Linked DNA regions of Rhinolophus ferrumequinum. The protein of the gene in region 1 purifies or fractionates together with the protein of each later gene. This does not show direct contact. Links are inferred from orthologs where the notes say so. Each region holds a gene or a part of one and is shown on either strand. Other genes may lie near its edges. The genes, in order: DDX5, DROSHA, CDK9 and TRIM25.

Evidence for each region.
Region 2: the proteins of DDX5 (region 1) and DROSHA purify together in Homo sapiens (co-immunoprecipitation; 4 studies listed by BioGRID and IntAct, with this or other methods). This does not show direct contact. The link is inferred for Rhinolophus ferrumequinum from reciprocal best matches to the Homo sapiens genes DDX5 and DROSHA.
Region 3: the proteins of DDX5 (region 1) and CDK9 purify together in Homo sapiens (affinity purification with western blotting; 3 studies listed by BioGRID, with this or other methods). This does not show direct contact. The link is inferred for Rhinolophus ferrumequinum from reciprocal best matches to the Homo sapiens genes DDX5 and CDK9.
Region 4: the proteins of DDX5 (region 1) and TRIM25 purify together in Homo sapiens (affinity purification with western blotting; 3 studies listed by BioGRID, with this or other methods). This does not show direct contact. The link is inferred for Rhinolophus ferrumequinum from reciprocal best matches to the Homo sapiens genes DDX5 and TRIM25.

The regions. Positions count from the first base shown.
Region 1 is NC_046304.1:42,882,568-42,890,424, reverse strand, and holds the start of DDX5 (probable ATP-dependent RNA helicase DDX5), read left to right. Parts: upstream 1-4,845; 5' UTR 4,846-4,953; intron 4,954-5,145; exon of another isoform or gene 5,146-5,338; intron 5,339-5,588; 5' UTR 5,589-5,723; coding exon 5,724-5,767; intron 5,768-6,992; coding exon 6,993-7,158; intron 7,159-7,515; coding exon 7,516-7,612; intron 7,613-7,703; coding exon 7,704-7,837; intron 7,838-7,857. Other genes in the region: CEP95 (centrosomal protein of 95 kDa), read right to left, coding at 1,533-1,640, 3,011-3,139, 4,665-4,683. UniProt on the Homo sapiens protein: Involved in the alternative regulation of pre-mRNA splicing; its RNA helicase activity is necessary for increasing tau exon 10 inclusion and occurs in a RBM4-dependent manner. Binds to the tau pre-mRNA in the stem-loop region downstream of exon 10.
Region 2 is NC_046290.1:20,747,341-20,754,905, reverse strand, and holds the start of DROSHA (ribonuclease 3), read left to right. Parts: upstream 1-4,551; 5' UTR 4,552-4,685; exon of another isoform or gene 4,686-4,689; intron 4,690-5,117; 5' UTR 5,118-5,283; intron 5,284-5,714; 5' UTR 5,715-5,841; intron 5,842-6,867; 5' UTR 6,868-6,915; coding exon 6,916-6,935; intron 6,936-7,565. Other genes in the region: C7H5orf22 (UPF0489 protein C5orf22 homolog), read right to left, coding at 561-710, 2,807-2,952, 4,202-4,291. UniProt on the Homo sapiens protein: Ribonuclease III double-stranded (ds) RNA-specific endoribonuclease that is involved in the initial step of microRNA (miRNA) biogenesis.
Region 3 is NC_046295.1:76,825,447-76,833,194, reverse strand, and holds the start of CDK9 (cyclin-dependent kinase 9), read right to left. Parts: upstream 3,009-7,748; 5' UTR 3,007-3,008; coding exon 2,567-3,006; intron 2,113-2,566; coding exon 2,031-2,112; intron 1,266-2,030; coding exon 1,175-1,265; intron 828-1,174; coding exon 661-827; intron 551-660; coding exon 379-550; intron 221-378; coding exon 72-220; intron 1-71. Other genes in the region: SH2D3C (SH2 domain-containing protein 3C), read left to right, coding at 3,735-3,781, 7,713-7,748. UniProt on the Homo sapiens protein: Protein kinase involved in the regulation of transcription.
Region 4 is NC_046304.1:28,459,383-28,466,788, forward strand, and holds the start of TRIM25 (E3 ubiquitin/ISG15 ligase TRIM25), read left to right. Parts: upstream 1-4,404; 5' UTR 4,405-4,494; coding exon 4,495-5,088; intron 5,089-7,406.

The DNA.
Region 1 (7,857 bases):
AATTTGATATTTGAAAGAATCTAGCCATTTGTAACTTCAGTTATGATGCAAAACAAACCTAAACCAGAAATTGGATGTTTTATAATACTAGTAAAAACAATGTTTGACAGGTGTTTTTCTGTTTAAAACAAACAGAAATATTGTTTTTAAGCCTTATGTTTTTCTGGCTTAACGAGATACACAAGTATACCCCAGGGGTATACTCAGGACTTCGTAGTTTCCAGGATGGGGAGCATACTCTGCCAACCCAGCAACTTAGACTGCCTGCCAGAATGCAGTGCTTCATAGTGGAGGAGAAACTGCTTTACACAACACAGGAGTAAAAAGGCTGCTCTGCAGGCTACTGGAGGAGGTAAGCAGTTTGTAACTTTTCATGGTGGGTGTGAGTTGTCCGGAGAAGCTCTACTGTAAGAAGTTCTATAAGCGGACACTACCTTGCCATATAGTATGTTTTAAAAGCACAAATTACCAGAAATTGCCCTACTCTGGTGATAAAGCAATTCTAAATTGCAAAAGAACAGGAAAACCCCACGGTTACCCCTCAAAATGAATCATCTCCAAAATAATTTACTACATTTATTCTCCCAAACTGCACTCAAAAACTTAAGACAGTATTTTTGCAAAAATTTGTTCTTGTCAGTATCAAATTAAGAGATGTAAATAACCTATCCTGATTAACATTTATCTCCTTTAAAGAATAAATCAACAGTATAAACCCTCTTTTAGTGATTTGAGTTTCAAGTTCCCAAGATTCCTTCTGTTCATTAGCTGAAAATAATTTATTTTGGGAAAAGGTTCAAAAAATAATTTGTAGTTTTATTTATATTGAATAGATAATCACGATTCAAAATTTAAAAATTACAAAAGGTATATAATGAAGTCTCATCCCACCCTTGTCCTGCAGCCCTTTACTTCCTCTTATTGGAGGCAACCAGTATTACAGGTTTCTCGTATATGCTTCTAGAGAGTTCTACATGAAATCTATTGCATAAATGTTCTCCCCGCCTTTGCTTTTACAAATAGTAGCATACTCTGCATATTATCATTGTAATTGCACCACATTTTTCTCACACAATATATAATGGTGATTGTCCCACTAATATGGAACATTGTACATAAAGAACATAATCAATCATCTTTTATAGTTGCACAGTAGTTCCCTGGAGCTACCATAATTTATTTAACCTGTCACCACGAATGGACACTTAGATGTTTCTAATTTTTTAGCTACTACAGACAAGTAGCATGGTAGCTTTAAAATAACAAAACAACAATAAAAAACATACCTCCAACTACCAGCTCTAGGACTTTGACTGAGATCCATCATAAACTCAATGTCTGACTCTCCCGGGAAAGCTCTCAAGGATGGCTGCCTTAACTATACATACTCAATCGATTGTCTTGGCTCAGTCTTGCCATTTGGTCTATTTCACAAGCTTACTCATTTGGCTAATTAAATAATGTCCTGGGTTCTGTCTAACAAGTTATTTTTGTAAAATGCAAAATTATCTGGAGATGAAGTATATACCAACCTGTTATGTGAGACAAGCTGACCTGCAGGTAATCCAAGGCCAGTGAATCGATTACTGCTTGTACATTGTGAGCTTCATCCTCTTGACTCTTAGGAATAGCTATGAGGTCTGTGGAGGAAAAGCTCCTTAATTTTGCATCTGTGAGGGTCCAAGTTTTCATCTATCTGTCTCGGACCAGGCTCTTGATAAGTTCAACTGCTACAAAAGTAAGCTCTGCCCAAACAGAACAGTTTTTATAAAGTACAGATAAAGTTAATAGAGCCTGAATTCCACACAGAATCTTTATTGGTTGCATATTTATTGATTGAATATGGTTGAATAAACTTATGAACATGCTCTACATTAAGTAGTACACTAAAGAAGAGAAAGAAGTCCCTAAATTCGGGGCCGGATGGCTCAGTTGGTTAGAGTGAGAGCTCTCCTCTCAACAAGGTTGCCAGTTCAATTCCCACAAGGTGGGCTGTGCCCCCTGCAACTAAAGATTGAAAACGGCAACTGGACTTGGAGCTGAGCTATGTCCTCCACAACTAGACTGAAGGACAACGACTTGTAGTTGATGGGCCCTGGAGAAACACACTGTTCCCCAATATTCCCCAATTTAAAAAAATCCCTAAATTCAAGATGGTAATACGATTGTAAGGGCAGCAATTACTAACCTATAACCGTGGGCTGCTTTCCATGAGAGAAAAACAACAACAGGTGTGAAATGAGGGTTACTGTATGTCCTTTTAAAGGGCCCTATTAAGAATTATTGGCATAGAGGTTTAAAAGATCAGTATAGACCTGAGTGCAGAAGGATTTTTAAATATCAACTTAAATTTTGAGTTCCTCCTCTGGTGTTGAGAAGATGAATGTTTTTTGGGAAGGATGAAAATGTATTTTAAAAGACTGGCCTAATAAGTACTTGTATATACCTCGGGACGCTAAAGAGGGTTGAGACTAGCATCAAAGATACCAGCTAGAGGCTATTCCATTATTCCAGGAAGTGAGGAGGGACTCATGGTAACAGTGGGAAAGGAAGAGAGACTACGTAGAGCTTATTTTGGTACATTTCTTATGTGAAGAAATGAAGGCAGAGAAATCTATGGATAAGGACTCTGAGATATTTAACCAGGGATATAGTACAAACATCAATTCTAATCTGTAATATTGGTTAAGCAACAGGGTTGCACAAGTTCCCAAGTTCCACTCAATTTTAGAACCTTTAGTCACAGAAAACGTGTGACTTTCACAAGGCATCAAACATGATTAAACAGTGACAACCAAGACCCGTCAAACTGATTTGACCAAGGCTGTTACTAGGGGTGGGTCTCATAAAGTATTCATTAAGGCAATGAATGCAATAATTAGATAGAAATAAAATGGAGACAAAGAGAAAACTCAAGATTTTATAAATACCATAGGATCTCACTTAAAGGCACTAGAAACTTCTGGGGTAAGATATAGACATTATTACTCCCACTTTTTCGCACCCTTACCTGGTACCTTTTCTCCCAAAATGGATTGATAAAAAGCAATAAAGACATTAGCATCACAATCTTCTAGTTCATGTATTCTCAGGTGTATGTGACATTTCAAAAGAAGGTTATTGGCAATGGCTACCCACTCTGTTGGGAGAGAAAAGGAAAAGGTCAGCCTTAAATAGCACTAGAAAAAGTCATAATCTGAAAAAACAAACAAAAAAAACCCCCTCACAAAAACAGACATTGAATTTTGTAGAAGATAAGGAATTTGACTTTTATAGGATTTCAAAGATCCTCCTAGGCATGATTTTTGAAAAGATGTATCTAATTAATTACTTGGGATGACTTCCAGACTGCAATAATTTCCGTGCAGTCAAAAATGGAATACAAATCTAATTTTGACTGTCGCAACCTAAAATCTTAAGTTATTTACTGTGGTTCTTATTTTACAAGCCATATGTAGGTGTTTTTATTTATAATATATTTACAGGTAAGTGGGAACGTTGTGTCCCAAACAAGATAATCCGAGGCTACTAGAAACTACTAATGGATGTTGCTTCAAATTCCCAATAGCATTAGTCATGGTTTTACCCAATTATCTTATGCAAACAATTTCTCTGGTGTCCAAATAGGTAGTGATTAACTTAGGCTGTTAAGAACTGGAGTAATGACACCAACACTACTGCACTTGTTAGTTTTTTTGTATTTGACTATATGAAAGGAAATACGGAAAGTTTATTTAAAAGTCCCTAAATCCAGAATTAGCACATTACCGATACTGTGGAAGTTTCCTGTGTACGACCCTCCCCACCCCAGATATCGTTGGAATTAGAAAAATTATTTCAAGAGTTTCTCGACCGAAGGTAATTTAGAAAACTTAGAACGTTTGTTCCCTGAAATGATTGTTGATTAAAGGTAAAGTTCCTTTATTCTGCATTCGATTGTCTTCAGTATGTTCTAGAAATGTGTGACTGTGTGTTCAAGGCACGTTATCTTCCTCTTCCCAGAAAACAATGTGTACGTGTGTGTCTCTTAAAGGCACATCATCTCCCTCTCCCCCATACTCATTTCTCACAGCTGACCAAACCATCACAACTAATCTGAACGCTGTTCTAGAGAAAAGGATGAAAGCGTCCTAGACAACCAAATCAATGCGCTTTTCAAAAGCGAGGCTAGGCAAAGCCGGTAACTCCAGAGGGCACCGAAGACAAAAATCCACTATTTTCCTTTGGTAGGGGCATCAACAGATCTTAAGAGTGCCATTCCTCCAAAGTTCAATACAGATTCCGGTACTACCTCAGTCCCCACAATGCAAGAGTAAAGAGCACTTGAAAGCGGCTAGATACCCCAGAGAAACAGGAGTCCGGGGAAGAAACTTTTTGACTGCCCTTTTTTGCAGCCAGGATGCAAGCATACTACAGGTCTCGCCACAGAGACCTTCTCTCCCCGACCCCCAAAATCGCGCTCGACGGCTTCCAAGCGGACAGCGAAGTGGGCTAAGAGACACTCCAGGTAACCTGTTACTACGACGGAGTGTGTGTCACGAGCCCCGCTGGCAGCCCAGACCTAGCTGAAGCCGGCCTGAAGTCTCAAGATATAATAGGCAGGGGCGTTCGGTGACTTGGCCCGCTTTAGTCCACATATACCGGGATTCCAGGTTGAGACTCACCAGCCTCTGAGCTGGCCATGTCGCGGAAGCAGGTCGCCGCCCGACTCGCAGCTGAGCGCGCGGGGGACGGTGTCCTGAAAGGGCCGCAACAAGCCGATACAGCGCTGAGAGGGGGAACGACAGGAAAGTGCAGGGTAGGAGGAGTGAAAGAGGGAAGGGCGTTAAAACGGCTTCTCGCCACTGATTGGTCATCAGAGGAGCACTTCCTTTCGCAACACGCGCCGAGGCGGCGGTTTGGGGGCTCTAGATACCATTCTCCTCCCGAAAGATCGCGCTAAGCGACTCTCAGGTGGGTGGGTTTGACAGTGCGGGTCACGCAACAGCCGGGGCCGGTCTCCCGGCGGCGTTAGCGCGGCATTAGCGCGGCATTTCCGGTGAGCTTTTCGTTTTGTATTCCTCCGCGGACGCCAACTGAGGAAGTAGTGCGGTCCGCTCACCCGGTGGGCGGGGTCAGCCACGTGACAATGTCAGGGTCCGCCTTCCTGTCTCGTATGGTTCTGGGCGTGAGCGCTGTTTGGAGACGTAAACAACTCCAAGTGGACCGAGTGGGTTGCCCTGTGCTGGCCATTTTATAGCCTGTGCTGGACCTGAAAAGGGCGGGGTAGCTTCCTTGAGGTGTGGAAAGACGAGAAAAAGGTGAAGTCAAAGAGAGTGTAGGCTGAGGCATTCCGGTGGTGAGTGGGCCCAGCCATGGAAAGGGCAAAAAACGGGCGACTCTAAGGGAGGGACAGTGGGGGAGGGGAGAGGACATGGCGGATTCCGGAACGTTTGCGGGCGTTGCGGCCTCTGCGCAGGGGCGGGGTGATTAGGTCATAGAGCGGCTCCCAGCATTCTCTGCGGCGGAGGAGGCGGTCCAGCCTATAAAACCGGCTGCCGGGACGCGGCCGGCACCTCATTCATTTCCATCGGTCTCTTGCGGAGCAGCTCCGGCTCCTGTCATCGCCGTCCTTCCGCCGCTGCCGCCCCCGCAAGGCTTTGCTTGCCGAAGCCACCTCCACAGCGACTCGTCGCACCAGATTCTCTCCACTTCGTTCCCCGCCAACCGCAATCATTGACGCCATGTCGGGCTATTCGAGTGACCGAGACCGCGGTCGGGATCGAGGGTGAGTGGGGGAACTGACCTGTCAGGCCCCACGGGTGGGGGATGGGAGGCCAATGAAAAGAACGAGGGGTGGGTAGCGATGGGAACTTGGCTTTTTCAGCCGTTTTTTGGGCCTCCTCAAGGGAAAGTTTGCGCCATTTTGTTATTTGTCCAAAACTGACGGAAAGATTTTTCTAGAAACGGTCCTCAGTCTCGCTTTTTGTTTGGGAGCGTCGGGGCTTCGGCGATTTAGCAGTTGTGGCGAGAATTGAGTGTGTTGTGAGGGGAGGAAAGCGCGACGCTTCGAGGAGAACGAAGTTGTCGCTGTTGAGTGCAACCTTTTGGGAGGTGTTTTAGGAGTCTCGGGGATTTTTTGGGGAGCCGAGAGGGCCGCTTCGAAAGCCATTGATGCGGCGGGGGCAGGAGGGTGGCCGGCGCCACGGTAATCGGCCATGTGGCTGAGCCGTAGGTACAAAATGCCGGCGTCGGACATGGCGCCGGCGCCTTTGTTACCCCGCCCGGCGGAGGAGCTCAAAATGGCAGCGTCGAGAAAATGTGGCGCAGAGAGAAATGCGAGACAAAGGGGGAAGCGCCGCCCCAGCGGGAACGCCGCCCGGCCGACTCCGCCCGGGCCGGGACTCCTCCCCTGGTAGTCGCCAGCTCCTCCTCCTCTTTTTTTTTTTGCGTTATATAATTTTGTTACCTTGATCGGAAGCCGTTCCGCGGTTCCTCCCTAGTCGATTGGCTTGTATAAGTGTCCCCGAGACCACCACTCTTGCTTGTTCTGCTTTCACTGCCTGTGCTGTCCCGTTATCCATTGAAACCAAAGACCCTTTGCTTGGAAACAGCTGGTAAATAACATCGCTGTTAATAAGCTCCTCCCTTCTTGTATTGTCCTTCTCTCAGACATTTAATTCCTAAGCTCGTGGGAAAGACCGGTAGCCACAAGCTGTTGTCTGTCCTTGTAATCTGAGCTTTTGGTGCTTGGGCAGCCAATTTCCGACCTGATAAATCCTGGGCTGTTTTTTTGGCTTTAATAGCGTGTACTTGGGACAACAGGGAAAAGGAGAAGGGTGCTAATTGTGGTTTGGAGAGAATGATCATCACTAAGGACAGCGCTAGGTCTTATTCCTCCAGAAGTCTTTCATCCATCTTTATTTAGCGTGTGCCAAGGAATAGTAAGTTAGAGTGTATATAAACTCCTACATAGACGTTTGAAAACGTAACTTTCTTTTTTTTAATTGCAGGTTTGGTGCACCTCGATTTGGAGGAAGTAGGGCAGGGCCCCTATCAGGAAAGAAGTTTGGAAACCCTGGGGAGAAATTAGTTAAAAAGAAGTGGAATCTTGATGAGCTGCCAAAATTTGAGAAAAATTTTTATCAAGAACACCCTGATTTGGCCAGGCGCACAGCGGTGAGTAATTTTCTTTGGCTTCATCAGGTTTAACTTAGTGACTTACAGTAAATCAAAATCTGACCAGAAAAGTGTTGGCAAATGACCAAGTTGTGGGAAATCATGCCTTTTTATTAGTTGGGGAAGAGGTGTTACTCACTTTTGGAAATAAATGGCTCTGAATTTTTCTACTTAGCATGGTAGAATATAACACAATAGACATTTTTCTGTGCCATGTAGGGTTTTCATCACATGGATTCAGATTAAAATGGCTATGTTAAAGTACCTAATCAATTATAAGATTAGGGGCTTATTGTTTGCATATTTAGTTGGAGGAGGTTGTCATAAGACTTAACCAGATTATTATTTGTTTTGTAGCAAGAGGTAGAGACATACAGAAGAAGCAAGGAAGTTACAGTTAGAGGTCACAACTGCCCAAAGCCAGTTCTGAATTTTTATGAAGCAAACTTTCCTGGTAAGTACTAGTTTTGAGTTTTGTCCTTTTTAAAAAAAATTCCCTTTTCTTGGCCTTACTGATTTTTCTAAATGTGTGTTGATAATCATAGCAAACGTCATGGATGTGATTGCCAGACAGAACTTCACTGAACCCACTGCTATTCAAGCTCAGGGATGGCCAGTTGCTCTAAGTGGATTGGACATGGTTGGAGTGGCACAGACTGGATCTGGGAAAACATTGTCTGTAAGTTTGGAAGAACTTTT
Region 2 (7,565 bases), on another chromosome or scaffold:
AGTTATATATACAAAAGTACTTGCACATGTAACTCAAGTCAGAGGATCAAATTTAATTTAGATAAGTTAATTATCTAAAGATAATCATATTAATACAATTAAAACCCCAAATCTATTTTTCAGCCATTGGATTTATTAAAAAAGACAAAAAAACAAAGTGAGGTAATTTTGCTTTTTCACTGCTAATCGTTTCATTCAGCAAACAATAGTTATATTGGAAGGAAATGGTAAAATGTATCAGTAAATATGTATATAAGTCTAAAGGTACTTCAGTGATTTAATGGAGTTAGTCATCAATGGAGCCAAAATTCCAGAGGATGAAAATCATGTTATTCAAAAATGAACTTGACCAACAACAAAATATAAATGGTGTGGTGTGTGAAGAAAGTCAAGAGACTTGAAAACTTGTTCCTGGTGTTTTGAGAACTCTTTTTAGAAGAGCTAAGGCTTAATCTCACCCTATTTGTGTGTAGAGATAATTATTAAATTATTACAGGAATCCAAAATAATATATAAGAAGCAATCAACCTCTTTCATACTCATAAATATGAGGAAATTACCTGATTGTTGTGGTAGAAATGTCTTTGCCTACTGAAAAGTGATGTTTGCCCTCTCTGATTTGCTGAGCCCACGTGGGATGAAGCCATATTATATGAGAAAAATGGCCAGCATACACTGCAGGCATAATCCAATTCTCAATACTTAATTCTCTGGAAAAGAAATAGAGAGGAAGAAAGAAAACTATTAGTGAGTAATTTTTTTCCCCAATGTAATTTCATTCACCACAATATTTTAAGTAGTAAAGGTGAAACAGTTAAAAAAAATAGGAAATGAAGAATAATGAGTTTGATACAAAGGAGAAAATGTGTGTTCTAAGGGACCTTGAGGGGTTCCTGAGACCTTTTCTGTGACCATCAGTTAAAAACAATTTTCCTAAAGCATTCTTTCCTAAGGCATTTTTTCCCTTTTTCATTGTATTGACATTTGCACGGATGTTGCAAAGCAACCTGGTGGCTTGATGTCCTAAGATTAATCAAAGCGACGGCATCAAACTCTACTAGTAGTCATCGTATTCTTCACTACGAAGCACTAACACTCGCTCCCCCCCCCACCAAAGCTAGTTTCACGTATGAATGTCTGTCCTTCATGATTAAACCTTGATCCTGAGTATACATTTAAAAATATTTCGTGTGGCAAAATGAGAAGTATACAGAAAGTACTTCTACTACATACTTTGAAGTACAATAGTTGTCAAGAAAAACCACTCGTGATTCAATTGCAAGCTAAACACCGTTTTTCTTGAAAGAAAGACGGATTGATAAACCGTGGTTATTCAGACTTGAATGAATCTGAATTGTTAGATTCTATAGTCCCACTAAGCTTTAAGAAACTACCACTTGTCAAGCGTTCGTATAGTATTAAAGAATATTCACAATTATCTGAAAAGGCTATGAAAATTCTTTTCCTGAATTTTTTTCATATTCTTCCACCGACAACATACGACAATAGACTGAATGCATTAGCAGATATGAGAATCCAGCCGTCTTCTATAAAGGCAAATATTAAAGAGGTTTGCAAAGATTTAAACACTGTTACTCTTCTTACTAAATTCTTTTGCTTTACAAAATGTATTTGTTTTCATAAAAAATACTGTTATTTTGAAATGAATTAATATTTTCAACGTTTTTCTCAGTTTTAACTTCAAATATGGTAAATATCAATAGCTATGACCCATACTAAAGAAAAGCTCAATAATTTTTAAGGGTATACAGGAATCTTGAGACTAAAAAGTTTAAGAACTATTATTCTATGACTAACTGTACAGTCTGCATACCTGCTTCATTATTCTTTTCAACTTCTAAAATATAACACCTCTAAATATAAAAGAGAGTAAAGACAATGGCAGATGTACCATTTCTTTAGAAATTAGTGCTCTGAACTGGAATTTTGGAAAAAGTCAAATGTAGTAGGCTAAAATTAATTAACACAAGCATTTATCTTTTAATTTTATATTATAACAAGAAAATTACTGCTATGTTACTTTTTATATTGTACAAGTAGGCTACATTCTAACAAATATGTACATAAAGAGACAGCAACAGAATTTGGGGGAACTTTCTTACAGAAGAGAGGTTAGTAAGTCATTATTTACAGCTACATTAGGTATGATCCTTCCTGCAGAATGGAATAAAAATGACCAACTTCACTTCTACCTTTATGGTTCTATATAACTGAAAAGTCGGTAGGGTTTGTGACCTGAAAATAAACAAATTGGGAGGTTGGAAAAATATAATACTGGAAGGAAAGATATACAAATGAAAGATGTGTTGCCTATACAATTACTGAACTATGTGTTTAAAACACATTTTCTTGTGACTCAGTATTCAGACTTTTCAAGTGGAGAGGAAGGGAGAACTGGCTCAGATAACTTCTAAAGTTTCTTCTATTTCTAAAATTCCATATTCCAAAGAAGAGGTTGGCACACATTGGCTGGGCTTCCTGTTTTTGTAAATAAGGCTTTATTGGAACACTGTCACAGCCATTTGTTGACATGGTGTCTACGGATGCTTTCACACTACAAAGGCAGAGATAAGTCGTTGCAACAGAGACCATATGGCCAGCAAGCCTAAAATATCTACTACCTGGCTCTTGAAGAAAAAGTTTGTTAACACTTGCTCTAAATAAAATAAAAAAGGCAAACAAAACAAAAACAAACTCATGAGATTAAGTCTATTTCTCTTAATTATCACCTACTGCAAATTGTATTTCAAGCACATAAAAGATCATTAACAAAATCATATATTACCCGAAAAGAGTGTCCTTGTCAAACACTGTGTCAGCTGGCATATTCACAGGAATAAGCAGGTCTGGGTGTGAATCAAAATGCACAAAACTTATATTACTGGCAGGAAGATGCTTTGAGCCAATGGCTCGGTATATAAAAGGCAGAACCTGTAAAAGACACATGCACACATTCAGAATTGGCACGGAAGTGATGAGAATACACTCAACTGCAGACTGAAGATCAATGCTACACATAACTGCACATAATCTGAAGCAACTAAGTGGTTAAAAAGGAGGAAAATATATGTAGGAAAAAGTGTTCATTGAAGATGATTTGGATAATGACCTCAAACTTTGTTTCCTCAGAACTTCCAACGTGGACCTCCAAAGGCTTTAAGGGATATCTGTCCCTTGCTGCTATCCTGCCCCACAACAAACCCAACAGATAACGTGAGGATGGGTCGGGCTGGCGCTCAGAAATAACCTGCTAGTTAATAATACACGTTCCGGCATTAGCAACGTGTTCAAGCCACCCAGGGTCTCCGGGCCTTTTCCATATTTCAGGAAGGTGCCGTACAGCTCTTTGTCCTGTTCCAGTCTCTGCAGTTCCAGGGTTAAGACTGAATTTGAAAGCACCGCCTAACCCACCGCTTGCTCTTACTCTCAGGCCCATACACGTTATCTCCAGGTCCTGAGAAACCCAGCTTCAACTGCCTTCCTCTCCTCTTGCTGCATCCATAAATCCGAAAGTACCCTTTTCCTCTTTCCCAGAAAACTCCCTAGGCCTATTAATGCCACCTAGAAAAAAATTAGAAAAAAAAGTCTTACATCCATGGCCTTCCATGTAGGCTTCTAGAAGTCTACATTAAGGCACCATTTTAGCTATTCTGCCATAAAAATAGAAAATTAGCACTGCCATAAAAATAGAAAAGATCTTTAGTGTTTCTAAACGTGGGGCATCATGTTAAAAAAGTGAGGTACACGCTATGCACACAATACTAACGGCCCTAAGAGTGCTACGACGGTTGTCCCCATTTCACAGATGACAACCCGCATTCTTTACAAAAAGCCTCCCACCTACACAGGACTGTGATGGAGACGCCGGGGCACAGCTGGAAGCCTGCGCTACGGTGCAGGTTAAGGACTCGGGGCTCTGCAGTAAGGCTGCCGGGTGCGAATCTTGACGTCACCAGTTGTTGGTTGTGGGACTTTTGGGCCAGAGTCAAATGAGGTTGCCCGACGCACAGTAATCGCCCCATAAACGTCAGCGCTTATCTTTCCAAGTTAGCTTCTAAGGTAGGTTTGGTGTTCTCCCCCATTGCAATGCAACTCGCGGGCATAACAGATTCTGGTTCTCTCTCTGGCCTCCTCCGCCCTCGCGCGATTCTGCCCCAGCGCCCAACAGCCGTCCGCTCACCTCCTGATGATCCTCCACCACCCACACCGGGAGCTCCGGGTAGCGTCGGAGGCTAGCACGCTCTCCCGCGGAGTCACTCATGTTTTCCATGCAGCAGCGAGCGCCCCTGCGAGACCAGGACGCGGGGACAAAGATCCGGGAACGCCAGAGAGGAGGGGCCGCCACTCTCCCCGGCTGGAAACACACGCTCACCCGGTTGCGGTTCCCTATTGGAGGACGTAGAGGGCAGGAGGCGGGCGCCGGAGGGTCCAACGAGGGCGATTGGCTTAGATGTCCATCGCGTTTGCTGACGCGCCAATCACGGTGCACAAGGCACAGCGGAGCGCCCCCAAAGCTTTCTCTCCCGCGGTCCGGCTTTCTCAGGTTTGCCTTTTAATTACCTCGGTTTCCTGTTCCGGAGGCGCGGGCGGTGCTAAGATCTTGGCGGCTGCACAATAAGCCTGGCTTTGCTCTGACGGCGACCTCGGCACCCGGGAGCCTTTTTGTAGGTACAGGGGCCACCTTGCGAGTGTTGGGAGAGGGAGCGTTTCCGAGGGTCCGGATTTAAACTTAGGGGCTGGAGGCTGGGGCTAAGGCGAGAGGCGCCTGGAAGTTGGGGTCGGACAGCCCCCCACTTCAGATCTGCAGCTAAGGGCAAAAAAGCGACCCTAGGTCCGGATCCCGTAAATAAATAGAAGTGAAAAAAATGAGACTTTTAATTCATTTGTGGAGCGCTTGCGCTGGTCCAGGCCTGGGGGTCGCCCACGTCTGGGAGGGGAGGTAGACGGTGAGCCTGGTTGGGGTTCACAGTCTGGCGGGAGATGCAAATAGGGAAACACGCAATGCAGCCGGAGGAAGATGACCGGCCTGCGGATTCAACTGGGGAAAGAGGATGTTCTTAAAAATGTGTTCACACTTTGCAACTCTTTCTGCATAGATTCATGTTCCTGGACGTGGTGCATCAGTTTCCCTCAGTTTCCCTGCTTCCAAACAGCGACTTAGGAGTAGGCAGACGGAGAAAATACTTTTCCAGTTGCAGTGAATTCCTTGACTTTTGAATTAAAGTTTGCATCCACAGCACAGCCTGATTATGCCTTTAATAGGTCAGTTTCATACTCAGTGTTTTCAGATAGCCTGTATGGGAACGTCCATGAGGATCTAACAATGAACGTTCAACTGTTACACATTGTTTGAGAGTGTTAGTGATCCTGGCTGTTGCCCACTTCTAGATCCAGAACATTCCTTTGTTTTCCCCTACACCATTTCTATACCTCTTGTGTTTATTGCATTATATAATTTTTTTTAAAAATGGAGGATTCTGAGCTCCTTGAGTCCTGCAGGCTGTGTCTTACACATCCACAGGGCCTGCAATAGTGCCCTATGAATCAGTGGAAAGAAGGCCTGTTTTTTTTGTCTGGTTTGGCTAATGCGAATCTGTTGTGGGTATATGTGGAAGTAAAATATACAGTAGCAACATAGAAACATGTACCATCGGTGAGACAGTAAACATTTATTGACCACCTACTGTGTGCAGGATGCTCTGCCAGGGGCTGTGAAGGAAACAGAAATGACTATGAATCAACCCATGTCATCAAGGAGCTAATAATCTAGTGGAGGAGTTAGACATGTGCACACATGACTATAATATGGGGCAGTCTCTGGTAAGTGCTGTAAAAGAAGTAAGTACAGACTAAGAGCAATGGAAGTCCAGAGGGAATGGGATTACTTCCTAAAGGGAACCCGGAAAGGCTTCACAGGAGAGGTGGCATTTGACATAGTAGGTCGATGAGTAGAATTCAGTGGACAAATTCATAGTGTAGGAGATTTCAGAAGAGTGGGAGCAAAGAACAAGCTGGGTGACAGTACTTGGTATGTTAGGCAACTGGGAACACCAGAGTGATAGGTGCTTCATGAGGACTTAGTGGAGGATAAGCCTGGGTTCAGATTGTAGAGCGACTTACAAAATAAACATGGGGTTTGAATTCGATTCTGTTGGCAGTGGGTAGCTCGTGGTGGCAAGATCAGCTGTCTAGGCCTTAGGTTTATCAAGAGGGCCTCGGACTGAATAATAATCGTTACTCAGGTATTACTTGGCGCCTACTATTTATTAAGCACAGTGCTGAAACTATTTGCCTGAGCCATTTGAAAATCTACGTTAAGCTTATTTGTAAAAGTTTTAGTTAGACTGTAGGAAGATGCTTCTCCTTTAAAGCTTTTTGCACTTAATATTTATTTGAGTTTTTAAAACATTTTGCTGAAGTTTATGTATTTGGAAAGTCATTCACGTTCAGAACATTTTCCGATGAGAAGAGATGAGAATGAAAATCAAGGATAACTGTTGTCGTTACAAGATTATAATTATGTTTGAACTCACTGTGAAAGAAGTTTAGAGTACAGAGAGGGAGAGGAGAAATGAGTCCCTCCCCACCCCCCAGTCTTTTAGCATATTAGAGATGGAACACGCCCAAATTTTTAGTCTTCTTAGCTACTTACTGTTTCAAGTCAGCGGGACAAGGATATCTTAAAAGGTAATTGTAAACTTTAATTCAGGTCAACATGCTCTTAATTTTGGTATTATGATAAATGCATTGGAGAATGCAAAATTAGTGCTAAGATCATTGCAGAAATATTTTCTAGCATTATTAGTTTAGGAAACATTTTTATGTCTATTTTATTCTTTCCTCTAGAGTTTATATTCTCAGTGGAAGATGTGACGTTGATCCAGACAGAACTCCATGATGCAAGGCAATACGTGGTGAGTGGTGTGATAGTAATGGCAGGACTTTTGGGAGAACAGAGAGAGGAGCAAACACTGACCCTGGGCCATGGAGTGGGGGAAAGATTTAGTTATGTGAGGAAAGGGGAAAAAGTGTTCATTTGGGCCGCATACATGGCTAGGAATCCACACTAGAGCAGTTAGTGGGACAACATAGCCCTGTCCCGATGGAGCTTGCAGCTGTGAGCTGCAGGCAGACAATATGGATGGAATTAGGTAGTCAGTTGGTGAATTGTAATTCTTGTAGGGCCTGCCAAGAAGAAGCACAGAGTATGTGAGGGCAAGGAACCTAACTGGCCTGGGGAGTGGAAATAGTGGTTGTAGAAGGTCCATCAAAGGTGTTATTGTAGTAGTTAAGGTAGAGATGATGGTGTGAAGTGGATAAACTCAAGAAGTATTGACAAAGCAGAAATGATGGGAATTTTAAAATAAATTTTTAGCTAAAGAGGATAAAGAAGGAAAAGTTGTTAGGTTATTCCCTGGTGTATGACTTGAGGACTAACACATGTCGGGTATTTTTGCTGTAAGCATCTTTGCCGCAAGCGTTTTTGCTGCAAACATTTTTGCTGCATAACTTATTGGCCGTAAGGCTGTTTTGCCATAAAAAAG
Region 3 (7,748 bases), on another chromosome or scaffold:
CCACTCCTCCCCTGCCAGGGAGACTTCTGCATCCTGCAGGGCCCAGAGGCCCAGGCAGCCTGGCCACCCACCTCAGGGGTGATGGAGCCACAGAGCTGGCTGATGAGGGCGAGCTGATGCTGCTCCGTGTTGCCCTGCATGATAGGGCTGCGGGTCCACATCTCCGCCATGATGCACCCAGCACCCCACAGGTCAATGGGGGGGCCGTAGTCCCGCTCCCCTGGGAAGAAGAGTGCACCAGGAGTGCCCCTTGAGCCCGAGGGCCTCCTGAGACGCAATGCCCGGGGGCCGGCGGCTCAAGAAGCCCTGGCAGTGGGGGGCTGAGGCCAGGTTAAGTGCCTAGCCCCTGCCCCCTTCTGCCCACTCGGGAGTCCTCACCGAGCAACAGCTCTGGGGGCCGGTACCAGAGCGTCACCACACGGTTAGTATAGCGGTTAGGCTGACTGTTCTTGGCGAGACTGAAGGCCCGGGCCAGTCCAAAGTCTGCCAGTTTCAGGACCCCGTCTCGGGTGATGAGCACGTTAGCTGCCTTCATGTCCCTGTGCAGGATCTGCAAGAAGGGCAAAGGTGAGGGCTCAGTCAGGTTCCCAAGGGTCCTTTAGCCCCGCCACCCAGCGGTGGGAGTACAGGCAGACCAAGCCTCGGTCTCTCCTCCCCCACCTTGTTCCTGTGGATGTAGTAGAGGCCATTGAGCAACATCTGCATGACCCTCTTGATCTCAGACAGTGTGAACTTGACTAAGACGTTGCTCAGCAGCCCAGCAAGGTCATGCTCGCAGAAGTCAAACACCAGGTATATACTGCCTTTGCAGCGGTTATAGGGGGAAGCTGAGGTGGGAAGAATGGGGAAGGAGCAAGAAGAAGAAAATAAAAAATCCCATATACCACTCATTTTCCCACAACCAGCTCCTACCCCCCTCCAACCCACTGACACCCAGAATCCATCTGTGGGTTCCTTCACTGGTAAAGTATTTCCCGAGTGAGTCCTCTGGGCCAGGTGCTGTGGCGGACCCTGGGAAAGCACCAGCTACGATGAAAGGACCAGAGAAAGCAGTCACAGTTGGTAGGTATGCCTGGGTTAAAAGTGTGTCCAGTTCCAACTTTGCAAACAAAGCCTTAAGTTCTAAGCCTCATTTTCTCCATTTGAAAATGGGAACAAGATTCAAACAACTTACCTTTGGTTCGACAGATCTCAATCAAGTTGACCACATTCTCATGTTTTAGAAGCTGCAGGATCTTGATTTCCCGCAGGGCGGTAATGGGGAACTGGGTGGAATAAAGAAAGGAGGTCAAAAGTGAAAGCGCACTGCAGATCAAGGAACTGGCCATGGGGTCTATACTAACGGGAACAGGTTGGGAAGACACAGTAAGATCACAGGCTCTGAAATCAGCTATCTCAGATGCCTTATCTGTAAAATGGGTGTAAAGTAGTATGCACTCCTCAAGAAGATGCTTTCAGACAATGAATTGAAATAGTGATACTTAACCACTTCATTATTGGTCACTAAACGCTCCCTAATTTCTTCAACCTTTAAATTTTAGCTCTGTGCCTGTGTTTAACTTGCTGGGTAGTAACACAAATGACCATTCAAGTTCCTTGCTAACAAGCACATCTCTGAAAGCTGGACTAGAGCTAAGATGTGGTGGGAGAGGGACTCCTTTTCAGTTGAGTACTAGTCACCCTTTTAAAGCCATTGCATGTATTTTCCTTTTGCACTGAACAAAATTAAATTCTAAGGGAAGTGTTTTAACAAAGGCTTTCCAACTTCACAAGCCCAAGTGCATTCAGTGCAAGCATGAGCTCCCCCTCCTGGCCCCAACCTTGTATTTGCCTAAGAATGAAATACCAAATGCTTTAAAATATTTGAACTGAAAGATTTAATTTGGAAGTCAAATTTCCTGGGCTATGGAAATTCTCGAGCTACTACACATAAACTAAATTTCAACACGTGAGTCCTAGAAGCAGCAGGATGGAAACCCACATGCCCCGGGGAGATGGCTGGCCAGCTAGCCCACCCGACCCATACTCACCCCCTCCTTCTCGTTCTCCATCAGTACCTTCTTCAGAGCCACTTTTTGGCCGGTCAAGCGGTGCTTTGCCTTAAACACCTCCCTGCAGGCCGAAAGGGGGACCCAAAAAGATTCATCAGGCCGTTTTCACATGGCTCGCCCCTCCCCCTCCAGAGGAGGAGGGCAGAAAAGAGACTCCCGTGTAGGGCTGAGCCTGGTACCTAGGGCAGTGGGCTACCCTACTATCTGCGGTCCCTCTCCCAACCTCTACTTCCTCCCCAGTCTCTTCTCCTCAGCCTGACGTCTCTCGGAGAGATCCTGCTCCCCTCACAAGCTCCTCTGCAATTCCTGCCCGTTCCCCACCATGGGCCTCAGGCTCCTCCCCGCCAGCCAGCTCCATCAGGCCCCGGCGGACTGCAGTGCGGCCTAGCGAGACCAGGGAATAACTCTAGGGCCAAGTGGCTCCCCGACCACCTCTGGCCCAGCCCCGGGCGTCCCGACGTCGGCCCTGAGGGGTGCAGGCCCAGGGCACCGGGTCCCTCGGGGCCCATCCTTACCCAAAGGTGCCTTGGCCGATCTTAGCGAGCTTCTCATATTTGGTCACCTCATCACAAAAGGGGCACTCCACCGAGTCGTACTGCTTTGCCATGGCCGCCTCTAGCGCGCCGCCGCCACCCCCAGCCGCCGCCGCCGCCGCTGCTCCCGCTCCGGGTCCCGCCGCCGTGCTCCAGGCCCCTCCGCGGCCGCGCCACTTCCGCCTCCACGGCCACTTCCGGCCTCGAGGCGCCGACCCCGCCTCTTCCGCCCGCCGCCCGCCGCCAGGCCCCCTGGGACTTGTAGTTCCCGGGAGGCCAGGAGGAACCGGAGCTGCAGAGGCGCCTCCGCCGCCACCGCTGCCCCCACCTCCGCCGCCGCCACTGCTGGCGGCGGCCCCGATTGGGGGCGCGGGGAGCCGGGGCGCCGGGGCTGGGGCTCGGGGCGGTGCGTCCCGCTGCATTGGCCCGGGCCGCCGCTGCTGCCGAAGCCGCTGCCGCTCTGGCGCCCGATCCCGGGCCAGCCGCAGTGCCCTGCTCCTCCTCCTCCGACGGCGCCGCCTCCGCCGGGCTGCGCGGGGTGGCGGGCGGGGGGACGGCCCCCAAGCCGCGGCCTGGGGGGCTCCCTGGCCGGGCCCGGGCCCGGGGCGGCCGGGCGAGGGGGCGAGACGGGAAGAGCCGACGAGGAGGCGGCCCGAGAGCCCGGGAGGGGGCGCGTTATAAAGGGGGAGGTGCCCGGGCCTCGCCCTCCCCTCCCCCTCCGCCCGCCCCCTCCCTCCGCCCTCCCGTCCTCCGCGGCCGCACCTGCCGCCGCCGCTGCCGCCGCCTCCCGCCGGCTGTCCGCCGGCCGCCCTCGGCGCGTCACAGCCCGCGGCCCCTCCTACGCCTTCGGAGGTGGGGCCCCGCACTCGACACCTGGCTGAGGGGCGCCTCGCCGTGTGCCTCAGTTTACCGCCACATGCCAGCTGCCGCGGGGAGCGCCTATTCCCCCCCCCTCACTGGCGGGAGGCAGCGAGGGAGCGGCCTAAGGTCCGGGAGGAGAGAACGGCCCCCGCCACCGCCTCCCGGGGCCCCAGCCACCCGCCGTTGACATGGTAACCGACGGCCACCAGGGGGCGCGGCAACACTGGAGGCGGCGAATAAGCAATGCCCGGGCCTTCTAGCGCTGGACCCTGTTCTCTGGGAGGCAGGGATGAAACCTAGAGGACCCCCGCCCCAGCCGAGCTGCGCGAGCCTTGGGTCAGTAATCACAAAAATAGCATTTACTCAGTACCTCTGTGTACTCAGGAAGTACTGGGCGTTTCCTCTGAATCCTGAATCAACAGCGTCATAGTAAGGATCACTAACCCATTTTACAGAAAAGGACATTGAGGCTCAGAGAAGTGAGGTCATTTGCCCAAGGTCACACAATGACAAAGCTGGGACTCGAACCTGGTCTGCCTGAAGGGGATTCTCCTGACTCAGGCTGTCCTGGCCAGGACTACAGCAGTGGTGCTGTTTGAGGCCTGCTGTCCTTACGCCAGGCACCAAGCCTGCCATTCACCCAGTGTCTCCCTCCCTGGCCGTATTCCCCCTTCCCCTGCCTCAGCCCTTCTCCAGCATCTTTCTGATATCTTCCTGGCTCCAGGGGGCCTCCCGATTCTTCCTCCAGCTCCACTCAACAACCAACCCCCAGAAAAGCTGTCTTTTACCTCCTCTGTACCCCTTCGATCTGCCCCTCTCCATTCCATTGCCCATGGATCTTGAGTCCTGGCCTCCCCAGTCCGGCTTCTCCATCTGTCTCCCTCACAGTACCCACCAGAGCATTCTGAAATAGAGTCTGCAGGTATTTCCCTCCACTCCCTTAAAGAAAAAAAATTGTGACATTTGAGGTTCTTTCCAGCTCGCCTCCTAGGCCACACGAATCTCCTGTGTTTCCTAACTCCCCAGGCCTTCCTGTCTTTAGGGCTGTGCTTCCTGATTGCACCCCAGAACCTCTCTATCTGCATGAAACTCTCCAGCTCTTACTCCACATGCTTAGCCTTGTAGCCTCCTTGTAGGAGGAGGCAGGAGTGGGTCTGCTGATTATGGTGTCCCAAGAGGCCCTGTTCTGGACAAGGGCTCTGCCAGGGAGGGCCTTGTGGGTCCGGTGAGGAGCAGGGAGCCCTCCCTCTCCTGAGGGCAGTGTGGAGCCGGCGAGGAGGGTTTTAGGTAGTCGAGTGACATACCAGGGAGTGATCTGGGATCAGCTTCATGGGTACACTTAGAAGCAGGGAGGCCATTGGCTAAAGTGGGAGTGCTGAGGGCAAGGAGGGAGAAAATAATTGTGATAATTACAATTTATTGAAGGAAAATAAATGGTCCAAGCCGTACACTTAGCACTTTATGGGTATTATCTCAAGTCTCACTCAGCCATATAAGTTGAGTACTATTATCACCTCCATTATACACATAAGGACACTGAAACTCAGAGGTGACATCACCTGGCCAGGGTAAAACAGCTGGCCAATGGCCACACTGGCATTTTGAGCCAGGCCAGTCTGGCACAAAGCCCCAGCACGTACCCATGTCAGGACCCCACCTACCTGGACGGGGGGTGGAGCACAGGCATGGCACAGCACCACTGGATGAGTGCCCTGGATGCTGATGGGAGCTGGAGGAGGGGATATCAGCATTGGGGTCTATCATGGGTTTGTGTGGGTGCCACCATCAGTCTCTCAGACCGGGGCCCCTGCCCACTTCCCATGAATACTCCCTAAGTCACATCCTGTGGGCAGAAGCCTCAGCAGAAGTTCCGGTGGTGTCATCACCTCCACCCTACTGTCTTTGACCTGTACCCCAACATTTCACCAGTCACTTCACTTCCCCTCTGCGCCTTGTGTCTCCAGCCTTCCCTGGGGAAAGAGGGCAGGCAGGAGTGGTCAGAAAGCTGCCCAGGCTGCCCAGGTGGAAGGGAGAAGAAATGAAGCGCGAGCCAGAAACAATTTCTCACTGACTTGGATTTCTGATTCGCTCTTTTGAGGGAAATGCTTCCTGCTTCCCTGGATTGGCTAAGCTAGCCAGGCCGGACGTGTGGCCAGTACTCAATAAATGTTTGCTGACTGACTACAAGGCTGTGAGAGAGCCTGTGGTCCTGCTGCCATTTAACAGTCAGGGAAACTGAGGCACAGGATGGGAAAAGGAGCCACTGGCCTGGACCCTCTTATTTTCTCCCCCAAGCAGGGACAGGGTGGAGAGGGTATGGAGGGATGAGGAAGATGGGCCCATGGGGTGGGTGCTCTTGGCTGCTGGTAAGTCTGAGGAGACAAGGGATCCCTGAATGGGGGGTACAGAGAATGGCTGTGTGATACCTAGAGCCCTGTAACACCATGGACATTCTGTCCCCACTAGACGGGTACTGACTCTGCCAGGACCTGTATTGATATGTTGTCCCCCTAGAACTTTACAGCACCCCTATTAGGAGGTTGCTAGTATCAGGCCCAAGTTACAGAAAAAGAAACTGAGGCTCAGAGTGTGCCCAAGGCCACACAGCCAGGAAGCTATGGAGCTGGAATTCAAAGCCAGGTCCCTCTGCTCTCAAAGGCTGGGGTCATTTATCACTATCCTACACTGCCCCCAATACCAGACAAGTGGGCAAGCTGGGGAGAGGCATCAACTGAGTCCCACAGTACAGCAGGCGTGGGGCCAACGTGGATGCGTAAGGCTGCTTCCTCTCAGAGCACAAGGTCTGTTTGGAAGATGCAAAGAAAGACACAGGAGAACGTAATAGGGATGATACTCTCATATAAATGTTTTATTTCATTGCCACAGGATCGTGTGAAGATGTGGTATTTGTCCCATTTTACTGATGGGGAAAATGAAGCTCAGAGAGCTGATGTGACTTGCCCAAGATCATGCAGGTGGGGTCTGAACTCAGGTTTGCCTGAGTCTTTGACGACGAAGTTGAAGGCTTCCAGTCCCTAATAGGTGCCTGGCCCAACTGCAGGCAACTGAGTTTAGACTGGGGAAGAGGGCAAGGAGAGGGGACAGAAATCACAGCAGGGTTCCTGGGGGCACTGTAGCTGAATCTAGACTTGAGGGACTCAACGGAGGCAAAAGATGGAGCCGGTGGAAGGAAGAGCTGCGCTCCAGGTATGGGTCCAGCCCAAGCAAAGGCCTGATGGCAGGAGAGCACTTGTGTGTTCAGTGCTGCGGAGCCAAGCGTGGGCAAGGCTGGGCTGGACTCCAGCACAGGCTGAGGAGGGCCTGTGGGACAGCCAACCGCCAGCAGGTCCCCCAGCCGCACTCCTAACGGCCACTTGAGGCAGCACAATGGGGGCTCTGAGCTGGGCAGAGCCTCCACACTGAGCCCCATTCATTCTCCCAGGGATGTGGCAATTGCCCTGGTACCCGGGCCAATGGCAGGGCCCCCAGCGCTGACAAGGCACCTCCATCACACAATATAGTCTCGTTGTGGCCGGTATTCCCGGGGCTCACGCCGTGTGCCTGATGCTGGGGTTTCCTGGCCTGAACCACCCCTATTCTTCCGCAACAACTGCCAGGGCTTGCTGAGGCCAGAGTGTACATAGGCTCCTTTCATATTCCTCCGGAAGTGGGGGCTACTGTGACCCATTTCACAGATAAGGAAACAGACCCAGAGCAGTAAAGTCTCTTATGAAGGATCACATAGTAAGTCGGGAGTGAGCCTGGCCAGGAAGTCGGTGCTGGCTGATGCCACAGCCTCAGCAGTTGGGCCAAGTCCCTGGGACTGCCTCCTGGGAGAGAAGCCAGGGACCCACTAGGAAGACCCGCAGCTACCACCAGGCCGCAGGCCCCTTTCCCTCTTCCAACAACAACCTGGAGATGAGAGGGGCACCAGCCTGGGAGCTAGGACACCTGGGTGTCTGTCTAGTCTCTGTTCCTCTGTAGCCTCAGTTTCCTCATCTGTGAAATGGGACAATAGCAGGATTTGCTTCACAGGTCTGTTGTAAGGATTCAGTGGACGATCTGTGGAGGCTTCCAGCTCCATGCCTAGCTCATAGTTAGTGCTCAGTAGAAGAAGCTAGAATTGGACCTCCCCTTTTTCTCCCAATTCTATGACCCAGAAACCCCATCCTTTCATTTGAACTTTGAATACTGGTCCCATCCAGCCTGTCTGTGAGCAGGACCCTGGTGTCTTGGTCTCATGGGCTATGTCCCTTTCTCTCTCAAGGCCTCAAGTTCCCCCTCGTTCCATCAAGGAGGTTCA
Region 4 (7,406 bases), about 14 Mb from region 1:
ACGGACAAATACAAAGTGAGAAATAGACAATTAGTATATTGAAGTTATTAACAGCTTCCGGCAAAAATTGGTAGAACAACTAGACAAAACAATTGGGAGGGATACAGAAGTTCTGAACCTTGATATAATTGACATTTATACATTCAACAATTTAACACACACTTTTTTTTTCAAGTATACTTGGAATGCTCTCTAAGATGGACCAAATGTCCATCATAAAACAAGTCATAAAATAAGTCTCAACATATTTCAAAAGAGAAACAGCTTACGTAATAGTGCTGACTAAAATGGAGTTGAATTAGAAATCAATAACAATAAGATACCCAGGAAAGCTCCAGATATTTGGAAATGAAGCCATATCCTTACAAGTAGCTAATGTATCAAAGAAGAAATTAGAAAATATTTTGAATGAAATGGTAATGAAAACACACAAATTAAAACTTGTAGAATATAACTAAAGCAGTGTTTAAAAGGAAATTTATAGTTTTAAGCCCCTATATTAGAAAAGGAGGAAGTTTAACAATAATGATCTAATAATCCAACTTAATAATCTTGAAAACGTGAGCAAATTAAACCAAAAGTAAATGGAAGGAAATAATAGTTAAGAGAAGAAATTAATGAAGAAAAAGAGCAGACAAATGACAGAAAATTAAAGCCAAAAGTTGGTTCTTTGAAAAAAATTAATAAAATTAATAATCTATTAGATGGATTAATCAAGAAAAAAAGAAAGAAAACACGTTACTTACATCAGGAATGAAAAAGGCGTTACTATAGATTCTACTAACATTAAAAGAACAACATGGTATATGATTTCACGTACATGTGGAATCTAAAAAACAATAAAATGAGCTAACAAAACAAAACAGAAACAGACTCATAGATAGAGCAAACAAACTTATGGTTGCCAGATGGGAGGGGTATGGGAGATACGTGAAAAAGACAGAGGTTAAGAAGTACAAGCTGCCAGTTATAAAACTAGTCACAGGGATGTAATAACGTACAGAAGGGACTATAGTTAACAATATTGTAATAAATATGTATGGTGACAGATGGTTACTAGAGTTATCGTGGTTATCACTCCGTAAGGTATATAAATATCTAATCACTATGTTGTACACCTGAAACTAATATAATTTTGTATGTAAATTGTAATTAAAAATTATTCAAAAATGATTACAGGAAGAAAAAAAAGACCTCTCATGTTGATGAATTTTCAATTTTCACCAGGAAATTTATTGATAATGTCTTTTTTAGTTGTTATTTTTACAGATATAATAATATGATATGATAAAAGGCTATCCTGGGGGGAGCAGGGGAAAGAGTAATATTATGGTAGAGTAAGGACCTCTGAAAATTTTGCCTCCGTAAAAGAAAACTAACAAAAATTGTCAGGATCAACTTTTTCAGACCTGTGGGAATTAGCGAAGACCTTACAACAATTCAGGGAATGCTTATTCAAGAAAAGTGGCTGTGTGCTCGCTTCCGCAGTACAGATACTAAAATTGGAATGATACAGAGAAGATTAGCATGGCCCCTGTGCAAGGATGACACACAAATTCGTGAAGCATTCCATATTTTTCTGACCCCTCCCCGCCAAACCAATAAAGCATAAAGCATAAAAAAGAAAGGAAGAAAAGAAGGAAGGAAGCAAGAGAGTGAGGGAGGGAGGGAGGGAGGGAAAGAGGAAAGAAGGAAGGAAGGAAAAAAGGAAGGAAGGAAGGAAGGAAGAAAGAAAGAGTGGCTGAATCTTGGTAGGAACAGCAAACTGTGGTGTTTTAACTTGTCCCATTCCCATTACTCCACTTCCAGCTCCCGGTAGTCTTGAAAACCAATAGTCTGCAAACAACTCTGAGACCTTAGAAAATACCGGGAAACTTATTGGTTCTATGCATTCAAGGAAATCTCTATTCAGTTGTTAGCTGATCGCTAGGCTAATGGAGCAGAGACTTTAGTAGCAACATATGACAATAAACACAGACTTCAGGGAATTAAGTCAGAAAAGTCACTAAACAAATAACAACAATGAACAGCCCAACAACAAACAGTGGGGAGGGGGGAATCTGGTATCCACAGTGCCACATTGTATAATTTTAAATATCCAGTTTTGAACAAAAAAAATATGAAATATACAAAGAAAGAAGAAAGAATGGCCCATATGAGAAAAAAAAAACACAGAATTTATCCTTGAGGAAGTACAGATGTTGGACTTACAGACAAAAACTTTAAATCAGCTATTTAAATATGTTCAAAGAACCTTAGGAAACCATGTCTGAAGAAATAAAGGTGAGTATGAGAATGATGTCTCTCTAAATAGAGAATATCAGTAAGGAGGTAATGTAGTATTATTTTTAAAAAGAACCAAATGAAAATTCTGGAGTTGAAATGTATAATGACTAAAATAAAAAGTTCACTGGAGGGGCTCAGCAGCAGATTTGAGCAGTGCGAAGAAAGAACTGGTGGACCTGCTTATGATCTACTGAGATGATGTAGCCTATAAAACAGAAAGGGAAAAGAAGAAAGAAAGGGAAGAAAGAAAAATGAACAGAGCCTCAGAGACCTGTGGGACACCAACAAGCATACCAATAATGGGAGTTCCTAAAGAAGAGGAGAGAGAGGGAAGGCAGAAAGAATATTTGAAGAAAGAACAAAGGAATACAAAAGTAAGAAGGCAGGAACGGAGAGATAGAAGAACAGAAAAGATGTAAGACATAAAAATATAAGGAAATGGCAGATGTAAGTCCTACCTTATTGGTAATGTAATGTAAATGGCTTAAATGTTCCAATTAAAAGGCAGAGATTGGTAGAATGCATAGAAAACATGATCCAACTATATCCTCTCTGTAAGAGCCACACTTTAGATTCAAAGACACAAAAAGGTTGAAAGTAAAAGGATGGAAAAAAGAGATGCCAGGCAAATAGTAACCAATAACAAGATAGACCATATTCAGGTAATAAAAAAAGTTTCCATAAATTTTAAAAGATTTAAATAACACAAAGTATATGCTTTAATCATAATGGAATGAATTTAGCATAGTATGTCTTACGACATATCTACTGCATAGAATTTGAAAAACATAAAGTATGCCCCTCCTGGTCATTTTTTCTAAACTTCTCCTCCAGGAAAGAGAATTCCACAAACATTCTGGCATGAGTCACCAGGCCACCTCACCCACAAGAGGTAGGTCATAGGGGATTTTACGGTATTTATTTACTGAAAGCTGCTCTATGGCTCCTCTTGAGAGGCAGCATTTTATAGTAGAAAATGTTTGCCTTCTGGAATCAGATAGCCTGGATGCCAATATCCATTGTATTAGGCAAGTTATTTAGTTTCTCTAAGCTTCAGTTTTCTCATCTGTGACATGAGGTAATTATACCTACCTTAAAGATTTGTGAGAATTAAATGAGATACTATACCTAAATCTTAATTTCCTACCCACCTCATCTTCTGTCTTCCTCCTCATGCAAACAACAATGCAATATGAAAGAGAACAAATGGGGTCAAGGGGCCTGGAGGAATAGAAATAGGGGAACCAGGAATTGTAATCCCAGTCCTAAATTGTGTAAAATACATGACCCTCATCTATAAAATGGGTATGATTTCTGTCTTGTGGGAGTTATAAGGACTAGAAGCGATTATAAAGATTATAAGAGGGAACATATCTGACTTGTCTAGCACACAGTAGGTGTCCCATAAGTGGTAGTTATTACTTTTAGCAGTAGTCTAAGTCATTTATTTACCTTTTTCTCATTTTTGCGGCTCATCCTCTCCCCAGTGCAAACTCCAGCTAACTCCTCCGCAAACGCAATCTTTCTCTTTGCCCCCCACCACGTCTCTTGAACACTTCTCACCTCCTGTACACTGACTTTTCCTGCACTCTGACCAGAGCGGGAGAAACAGAGGTAAAAGAATGGAAGGAAATAAATCTAAATAAACAATTTTGAGAAAAATGTTTAGGTTCCAACATTACTTTTTTGGCTGCGTACGTGTGTGAGAGAAAAACCTTTGTGAAACTGGGATGTCTCCAAATCCTACTAGTAAAGTCCTGATAAGACAGTCTTGCCGCCGGGGCGGAGGGGACTCCTCGGGTCTGGATGAGTTCTCCTAAGGAAGGAATGCGGGGCAGGCGCGTTTGTGCAGAAGCCGGACTGCATTTCGGCTCTGACTCCCCGGATCTGGGGTTCTCCACCCGACACGTCGGTTTTCTCCTCCGCAGGTGGCCCTAAGAACCCCGCGGTGGCTGTGAGAATAACTTGAACCTCCGAAGACTGCTAGTCCGAGACTTGGGACTACAGCCACCACCCGGTCGCCAGAGAAGGAACCCCGCGCGCCGGCTCCGCCCCCTGCCCGTCTCCCCGGGCCCCCACGTGATTTCCTGAAAGGCCGAGAGACCGCCCTCCCGCCGCTCAGTTTCGTTTTCTTGGTGGCTTTGGGCTCTTGTGCTACAGTCGCGGCCGTCGTTTCCGCGCGTCCCGTCCGGTCCTCCAAGGAGCGCTATGGCGGAGCTGTCCCTGGCCGACGAGCTGACGTGCTCCATCTGCTTGGAGCCCTTCAGGGAGCCGGTCACCACTCCTTGCGGCCACAACTTCTGCGGGTCGTGCCTGGACCAGACGTGGGCCGACCATGGCGCGCCGTATAGGTGTCCTCAGTGCCGTGCCGCGTACCAGGTGCGGCCGCAGCTCCGCAAGAACACTGTGCTGTGCACCGTGGTGGATCAGTTCCTGCAGGCCGAACTGGCCCGCGAAGCGATCGCCGACGGCTGGACGCCACCCGCTCGCGCCACCGCCCCCAGCCCCACCGACCAGGTGGCCTGTGACCACTGCCTGAAGGAGGCCGCGGTCAAGACATGCCTTGTGTGCATGGCCTCTTTCTGCCAGGAGCACCTGCGGCCACACCTCGACAGCCCGGCCTTCCGGGACCACCTGCTGCAGCCGCCGGTTCACGACCTGTTACACCGCAAGTGCCCTCAGCACAACCGGCTCCGGGAATTCTTCTGCCCTGAGCACAGCGAGTGCATTTGCCATATCTGCCTGGTGGAGCACAAGACCTGCTCGCCTGTACCCCTGAGTCAGGCCAGCGCTGACCTGGAGGTAGGGGGTGGCGGCGGAGGGCGCAGAGGGGCAGCTTGGGCCTGCTGGGTTGTGCAGAGGACGCCGCCGTGCGCATCTCTGTCTCCCCTGGATCACTTGGATGGGGGTGGGGATGGGGCTGGGCCTTGCTGGGCCTGAGATCCGGGACAGAAGACACAGGTGATGGTGCTTACTTTAAGTCTAGGGCTTGGCCTGATGGTGTTAATAAAGGGTTTAGAATGCCAAATATGAGCCCTGGAGGTTACCTCTGTTCCCTCATTAAATCCTGGCAGCACCAGGAGGTGGGTGTCATTAGTTCCATTTTTCAGTTAGGGAAAGCAGTTCGGGAGAGGTTACTTAGCCTGAGGAACCCAGTAGATGGCCAAGTAGGCATTGGGACCCAGCTGGTTTGACTACACAGTTTGCCGTTTCTCCCCAGGAACCAGCTTCATACCCAAGTCTACAGAGTCCAGAGCATAAGACATTCCTGGAGGATTGAGGTCATGTGAGCAAGAGCAGTTGGTGAGCCAGAGAGTTCTAGTGAGTAGGGAGGATCCCTACGGGTGGGTTGTGTCTCAGGAATTCTTGGATATGACCCACAGGAAGAGCCAGTGCTCTTGCACCATAGTGCCCTCCATCCTGGCTGTGTGACTTTGAGCACAGGATTTGGCCCCTGGGCCTGAGTCCTTGTCAGTAATGTGAGGAGGTGGGACCTGGTGGATTCCTAAAGGGCCTTACAGGTCTGTGGTCATTTTGGAGAATCATAACTTCTCCCGGTGGAGTTAAGGCAGAGGCTTGAAAAGGTATCACCTTTTGTTTTATCAGTCTAAGCTCCAAAGCGCGCCCCGATTTCTTTTGATTCTCACAGCACTGTCAGCTGTCCTCATATTGTCAAAGCAGACCTGAGACCTGGGGGAAGTTTGCCGTGGCATCCAGGACTGGGGTGCAGGCCTTGCTTCCATCCTGCCACAGCCCCTCTCTGGCTGGGCCTGCTTCTCCCAGTCTGAGCTGGGATCCTCTGGACTTCTTCCCTGAGTCTCAGAAGCCCGACCTCCAGGCACTGCCTGAGAATTGCCCATCTGAGGCCCGGCCATCTGGGTCTCCGACTGTCATAGGAAAGAACCTGCCTAGCCTTTGGAGCCAGGAGGCCTTCTTGGCCCCATACCAGCTGTGGTTTAGGGTCAGTCACTGCAGTTCTGAGCCTCAGCTTCCTCATCTGTAAAATGGGATTAGTACAGCTCCCATTTTAGGGACGCTCCGGAGAGAGGAGCTATGTGGGACGTGCTTTGTAGGCTGGCCCCAGTGTCAGGCAGAGTGGCTGGCTGACACAGGCTCCAGGCAGAGCTGGATGTTGAGACCTGGGTTTGAATTCTGGCTCTGCTTCCTAGCTGGGAAATCCAGAAAAGGGGGACAATAATAGTACCTATCTCCGAAGGTGATTGGGAGGATTAAATGAGCAACCTATAAACTGCGTTTTATGGTGAAGGCTCATTGCTGTTACTCCTCCCAGGGGAGAGGGAGACCTTAACTCGCTGGGCAGTGTCAGGCTGCCCAGATCTTTTTTGCCTCAGGGTGCCTGGGCCTGCCCATGAAGACTAGGGCAGCCTGGCTCCTGCTGAAAGGCCTTTCTAAGAAGTTCTTACCGGTGGAGGCAGAAGGCAAGTAGAGGCAGGAGGCCCCTTGTCAGCCTGTCTCAGAGCCACAGTTCTCTCAGCCTCCAGGGCCTGGAGCTGGATTCTACGCCCAGATTGTGTGCTGAACACACTTGGCTTTTTAATCCTTGTAACAGGCCTTTCCCCTCCACCTCCCCTCTTTCGCCATTGTCCTGGCTGCGTCCTTTCACCATGTTCCTTTTCCAGCCCTGCTGCTGCTTACTCCTGGTGGCAGAGCCAGCCCCAGCTGGGCATTGCCCCAGCCTTGGGTGGCTGGCTGGTCTCCATCAATAGTGCCTCCCGTGTGGAGGACCCAAGTCCCCAGTCTGTGAAGGGATCCTCAGAACTTCAAAAAGGTCTCTAACCTTGATTAGGGGATTGTTGTGGCTATCGAAGTCCTTGGGCCACTTTCCTTTTGTCTGGAGTTGCGTGGACCCCCTTCTTCCATCAGGGGACTGTCATACATGTTTGATTAATGGTAAATAAAATCTTTTAAAATACAGAATTTAGGAGTTCACGGTTAAGAGTGGCTCTCGGAGGTGAAACATTTGGCAGCCCCCTGGTGTTCTGAGGTTTCTTCCAGCTCTTGAGATCTGCGAGGCCAGACCTGCCTGGGTCTGGCCTTCAGCCTTTGGTCCAGTTTATATTGGCCTCTATTAGAGGCCACGTCAAAGGGCATTGTCACAG